2 linked regions of the Kluyveromyces lactis genome follow. The protein of the gene in region 1 purifies or fractionates together with the protein of each later gene. This does not show direct contact. Links are inferred from orthologs where the notes say so. Each region holds a gene or a part of one and is shown on either strand. Other genes may lie near its edges.

Region 1 (2,576 bases):
AGAAGAAAGAAACACATACCGAAGTTCGTGAACAGGCCAGCGGTGTATTCAAAGAAGCATGGGATGTAGAATGGAAGAATTTCAAGCAAGCGTTGCGGTTTATCGTAACAAGTTATACGGACCTACCTTCCACTGTTAGTAAGTACACTGTACTAAAGCTCAATAAACTCTGGAACAAGTTTATTGGTGTTCCAAACTATCTCGAAGAAGGAGAGGAGCTTGAATATCCATCCTACAACTACGAAGAATAGATTAAAAACCTCTCAAATTGTCATTTTATATGACAATTTGTTTATAGATATTAAGAACTACAGGAGAACCAGCTGAAAATTCCAATTATGAAGATAAAGGTGATTATGTTCAAATAATACCCTCTCATAAGCTATTCATTTGGTTAATATATAGCTAATAGAAAAAATAAACGTATATGTTGCCGCTAAGTATGCATAAATATGGCATTTTGTTCAGAAAGGCGTAATACTATAATGATAGAATTTATATGAGGATTGCTTTGTTTTTTCACTTCTTTTGCCCAGCAAGAGAAGGATTTCAAGTACAGATATGCTAGGGGTAATGCGAATGTAACTCTCAGCTTGTTTCCCGTTTCTTCTTCTTAGGAGGTTCATTTCCCTTTTTCCTTGGTCTGCCTACCGGACGTGAGGTAGGAACGGGTTCAGGAACCGTTGTCGTCTCCTCATCTTCATCAGCCGAAATGTGGTCATCATCACCGTCATCTTTCACTCGTTTCAAAGATTTCCCCTCTGAATTATCAAATTGTTTCCTGGCATCGGTAATAACTTTATTCATCTTAATCAACTCTTCAGCTCTACCTAATTTCACCTCGTCCTTTCGAAGTACAAATCTGAAATCTTCCACTTTAATCTTATTCCTCTTCACGGTTTGAGCCGAGTAGTACGCATTGGCACATATATCGCTCAAATAAGACACCACCAATTCGTCTACACATTGAATGGTCTCTGGTAAAGGTTGCGCGACATCACCAAACGCATACATCAAAGAGCCAACATCTTTACTGAAAAGACTTGTTTTACGAATTCTTCTGGACATTCCTGTGTTGATCTAGAACTCCAACCGACTAGTCAGCTCTACTCCATGGAATGGACGAATGCGCTATAAGCTAAACTGTATAGCTTGATCATTGTTTCGTGATTTTGATTCTGGTTCTGAGTTTTATGTCAAACTGTCAACTTAAACACAGCGAAGAATAGTGCGAGTTTGCTTTTTTTTTTTTCGCAGCAAAAAATCGCTTGCGTTTTTTTGTCCCCAAATATCATGCGCAGTCCATCCAACAGTTAAGCTATATAGGGAGCTTTTTAGCGAGAAAGAAATTGACAAATCGCCTAACCCTTCCGCTTGTGTGAAAATTTTGAGAAAAGACGAACAGAGGAAAGGACATGACAGATCCACATCGCATCTTCTGAGGATCAGATAAACAGAGCAATGATAATAAACCGATTAGTACCGCTCAAGATAAGGTTTTAGTAGATATTATTGTTCCAACAGTGGCATCATTTAGACGCTCATCTGCGTGTGGTTGATATTGAAGGTTTGGTAAATATTGGAGGCTATTTTTCCTTCACAGCGACTGTGAGTCAAAGAGGATACAAGCAGGAATGAAGCCTGCGAAGCCCAGAGTGAAGACGTTCACGGGATGCTGGACATGTAGATCAAGGAAAGTAAAGTGTGATCTTCGGCGGCCCGGATGTGAGCGATGTGAGAAAGGTGGGTTAATATGTGGAGGATACGATGTAAAACTTCGGTGGACCCGGCCAATTCAGTTTGACACTATGGGTAATGTGACCGCAACACCTACAGGAATCAAAGATCCAGATGAGCCTCAGTATCAGAGAAGAAACGTTGATTTCGTTCGGTACAAAGAGGAATATGTGTATTATGAGGATATGGACGATGAATTATCAGCGTTAAGCTCTCCTCCTTTAGAGCTCATCTCTGAAGACAAGACTTGGATTATAAAGAAATTTGGTGTGTTCAAAGGCACAGATAAGGTCAAAAAAAGGTACGTGCCACGGAAGAAACGTAAGAAGAATCAAGTTTTCATTAATGCCATCGAAAAAGCTCAGAAGAAACTAGCTAATAAGAAAAATAAGGTTAAAACTGCTGATTCAGATTCGAAAGAGGGCACAAATTTATGCACTCCAGAAGATATGGAATCATCATCTGCTAATGATGATCATACATCTGCGCAGCAGCTTCATTCCCTATTCGAATTCGATATGAATTCTTTGTTGTTTCCTGGGAACGAGTGGATCTCAAATGAACTACGGGACGATGCATTACTATCGGCGTCCGCAGTGCAAGGGGAAACAATACCATTTATGGGTATTCGTCAGAATAATACACCGGATACGCCACAAACTCCTCTCACAGTAGATAATATGGGGAAAAAGAATGGTAGTGTTAATGGTAATTGTAATGACGGTCGCACATCTGGAAACGATAATGAAGACGAATTGGCTAGAGTCTATCGGCTCCTCTTCCATAGAAGAGGATCTTCTGATCAACCGCCACCTCCGACTATTACTTCCGAAACTAAA
Region 2 (4,204 bases), on another chromosome or scaffold:
CAAGAATTCCTTAACAAATGCAGGGCAAACACCCTCATCATTTTTCACTGAAGAAAGAAGTTTTGGGATTGCTTTCTGCAAGAAATATTTTGGATAGTCGGAAAAGTCATTGTTTTTGGGAATATTAGAGTCCTCGTAACAGAAAAGCTCCCTGAATATTTGAACCAGATGCCTTGGGCCTCCCTTGAATTCTTGCTGTTCTTCAGCTTTAATTGTAAATTTTGAAAGTGCTCTACAAGCAGCAAGACGGACACCATGAAAGTATTTTGGATCCATTGCTGTTCGAGTGAGAATGGAGGAATATATAAGGGAATTAGATGTGCCGTTCAAAATCACATCTTCAAAAAACCTGACACTTTCCACTTGCGCTTCCACGTCTCTATCTTGTTGTAACTGAGAGGCAAACATATAATCAGGTTGATTAATGTGCACTTTCGAAATCCACTCAAAATCGGAGTCTATTCTTATCCATTCGAAAGCCTCATTCTGCTGCTGTAAGTCATCGCCTTCTGAAGTTGTCATTGGGTCTGTTAAATTCCATTTATTACAGTCATCTTTGCTAACGAGTACATCCCCCATACAATTAATAAGCACTATATCTTCGTTGGCATTTTCCTCCTCCTGTGTATCCTCATTGATTTCCTCTTTCGCTTCCTTTGTCACTCTATTAACCTTCCTTCTTCTCTTTAACCTTTTATATTTAGTGTTATACTGAACATCCAATTTTGTAAATACATCCTTTAGTTCAACAATATGTTCATACGGAGTTCCGTCAGCTTCATGGATTCTGATTGTCATGGATCCGGTGAACACCTGAGTAGGAGATTTGTCTTGATCTTGCAAATATTCCATAGCACTAGAATTGAAATTTTCTTTTCCAACGATTTTACCTAATCCTAATTCCTGCATCTGAACTTGTCTGATGCCCATTTCAACTGCCATTCTCTTTTTGTTAAATCTTTGCGTTATGCGGAATATTGGAACACCGGATCCGTATACCCATTGCTTGAAGAAAGTTTCGAGTCTATTTTTGTTCACACGTTCACACACTCTCTGAAAATGGGTACTAGACAATGAGTTATTGGTCAATTCCCCTGACATAGCTTGTAAGTATATTTTGGGCAATACTCGGGACATACCGAATGACCTTTCTGTTTTTGTCATTCTTCTATCGAGAATAAAAAGCACCATTGGAGCCTTTAATTTTATAAAATTAATTTCCTTTGATAGAGTTGATATAGGTAAAGAAGCAGAATCAAAAGTAGTTCCGATTGGCTGTTTTTCCCAATCCTGTTCAACTATGGCTTCCGATGCCATTTTGATCCTGAATTTGTACTCATTGACACCCATGAGCTTTCGTATTAATTGTAATACCATGTATCCCGCCATGCCAACAACGCACCATAAATCATTCAATTCTAGAGGAGTGATGTTAACGCCAGACCATTGGTTTGCTAAACCCCATGCAAGTGTGTTGGTTGTAGGATAAATTAAGTCTATAATTTCTGGAGGATATAGCATTCTGGAATTATAAAAGGTGGCGCTTGTGAAATCCATCAGGTCAGTCGTTAAAGTTGGTAAAAACAGCAAAGAGTACGAGGTAAAAGGATATGAACCAAACTCTTTAGAATAGAAATCCATAATTTCCTGGCAAACAAGAGTAGAATTGAGGATAGTTTTTTCGTTCAAATCGACAGTTGGCAATGTGTAAACAAATATAGGAATTTCATCACGAGGCTCATCAGCTAACACTTGCTCCTGTTGCGGTATTTTAAATTCATCCATCTCTTCATCTTCATCGGCCTGTAAGATTGAAGGTAGTTCTATAGTCTGGAAGGCACCGATAGCCCAACCGATGTGGTGTGGGGCCACGGGAGTGAATATCTGGAAGGAAACTGTCTTCTTTGCCATATCCATTGGATGGGCAGTTACCTTTCTCGTTGCCATTTCAGAACATACGACCACGATTTCTCTATTCAGATCTTCGTTTTGGATAGTCCCATCCTCATCCTCATCATCCTCTTCCTCTTCATCTTCGTCATCTTCATCATCGTCTTCCTCCTTCATATGTTCATCATTCGCATTCAAATTGGATCTCCTATCTCTTGCAGTCCTCTTTCGTAGGTTTCTTGCACCAACAACTTTAGTGGTTCCTATGTCCCGCACCCTCTTAGGTACTGATATTTCTAAATCCCATGTGCATTTCTCATCCAAGGAGTCTATGCATGGTAACCAATGTGATACAGAACTATTTAGTTCTGAGTTTGTTGTATAAGCATTCCAAAGATGAGGTTCAGGGGATATGGTATCAAAGCAAACACCTGTGTGTGGATGGTCCAATTCGTAGTCTACCCGTAAAGTCAACGGGGTATATATTGTGTCGTTAGGGAAAGTGCTCGGGGTGTTTCTTAACGAGGGAGTTATACCGGAAGTACCAGCAGCGGTTCCTAAGTACGCAGATAGGGTGTTTACGTCATGCGGCAGAATCTTCACAGAGGAGGGCACTTTAACTAATAGCTGCGATTTGGATGAACCTTCAGGATTATGGTTAAACTCTGAAAATTTCTTTCTTAATAGATGGCTCTGTTCTATGCCGTTACAGTTGTAGAGTATATCATCCTCAGAATTATTCAAGTAAGAGTCTGACAGTTTTTTGTAAGGATCATCATGCACAAAATTATCCAACCGTCTGTTCTCAAAGATGATATCCTTTATTCTCATATTCTTACAATCCAAAGCTATATATTCGAGATTAGGGGTCAATGGCATAATAATCATCTCAGTAGTACCCACTATACAGTTCTTCGAAAGGTCCACATCTATCTGTACTCTCTGATGGGCAACCTTGAATTGTGGTCCAAATTGTTGTTCCACTACTGGGTACGCCGAACCTGGTGTCTTAGGTGTCGATTTCATTTGTACCATATTCTGTGTTTGAAATTCAAAGTACAGAAGTACCGCAAATAGAATCGTAGTTTAGTGCTTAAGTTTCAACGTCTGATCAATTCCGTCTGGTGCCTCTATCTATATCACGTTTCGAAGCATCTCTAAGTATACCTTCAATATCAATTCAACGTATATAATAATAATATCATATACAGATGCATATATATTATTCAAATTTCAAGATTTTGTTTGTTTGAATATTGACCATGCGAGAAATTTATCCGGGTAATGCGGGTTAGGATGACAAGGCATCAGCGGCGGTTGAACATTCATTCATTCATTCCACCTTGAACCACGTGATTGTCTTTCTCTTTGGAAAGCTGTTAATACCTGGCGACACTCTCTCTACCCACTCTTCAGGTAAAAATGGCATGTGGTTGGAATAGGAAAAACGGGAATTTTGCCCGTATCTCGAAACCACGGTACCGTGTTAGGGGCGATTGACACAGCAATCCATTTCTCTTCGCATTACATGATCCATAAGTGAAGTGTTATGGGTTGCAGTATAGCATGCTTAGTTTATCAGATGATGGAAGCTCCGGGTGGTCACAAGATGAAAGGATGTATTAACCGGAATTTTTTGAATGTCTTCTGTCTATCTCTCTATCTATCTATCTATCTGTTTCTTGTTTGTAATCATTAAAAACGCTGCATGGGTATCTTCTTACGAGTTTTTGCAACGCAATCAGGAAAAACCACTACCGAACATCAAAACCTTTATAAGGTTACAGCAATTGCAAAGGCGACGGTATCGACTTGACACTTCAATTGCACCTTTATAGTATATAGTAGGGGAGGTATTACCATTAAATTATATCTTCGCTATTCGTAAAGTCTATACCAATTTCTTTCTGAAGGTCACTGAAGAGATCGGATAGGTTGATAAGACAGCATCAAGTGAAGATGTCAAAGCCAGTTGTTTTAAGATTAGGTCAGGTTAAGTACGCTCAAAAGGCATGGGAAGAGCTTTCAAAGATTGCACAAGTTATTCCAATTGACCCATCCCTCACAAGAGCTCAATTCTTAGATCAATGTCAGGATCCGGAATCACCAATTTCTAAGGCTCAAATCTTAACCAGAACGTTCCCAAGTGTTAAGAACACTGGAAGATTTGATGCTGAATTGGCTAAGGCATTGCCGGAATCCGTTGTTGCTATTTGTCACAATGGTGCCGGTTACGATCAAATTGACCCTACGCCATTTGGTCAACGTCACATCCAAATTTCCAACGTTCCAGAGTTGGTCAACAATTCTACTG

Evidence for each region. Proteins that work in one complex are often made in the same cells at the same time.
Region 2: the proteins of TAF13 (region 1) and TAF2 purify together in Saccharomyces cerevisiae (affinity purification with mass spectrometry; 4 studies listed by BioGRID). This does not show direct contact. The link is inferred for Kluyveromyces lactis from reciprocal best matches to the Saccharomyces cerevisiae genes TAF13 and TAF2.

The regions. Positions count from the first base shown.
Region 1 is NC_006040.1:863,355-865,930, reverse strand, and holds TAF13 (Taf13p), read right to left. Parts: upstream 1,069-2,576; coding exon 589-1,068; downstream 1-588. Other genes in the region: ERO1 (ER oxidoreductin), read left to right, coding at 1-251; ARG81 (Arg81p), read left to right, coding at 1,635-2,576. UniProt on the Saccharomyces cerevisiae protein: Functions as a component of the DNA-binding general transcription factor complex TFIID. Binding of TFIID to a promoter (with or without TATA element) is the initial step in pre-initiation complex (PIC) formation.
Region 2 is NC_006039.1:177,265-181,468, reverse strand, and holds the start of TAF2 (transcription initiation factor TFIID subunit TAF2), read right to left. Parts: upstream 2,926-4,204; coding exon 1-2,925. Other genes in the region: GOR1 (glyoxylate reductase), read left to right, coding at 3,850-4,204. UniProt on the Saccharomyces cerevisiae protein: Functions as a component of the DNA-binding general transcription factor complex TFIID. Binding of TFIID to a promoter (with or without TATA element) is the initial step in pre-initiation complex (PIC) formation.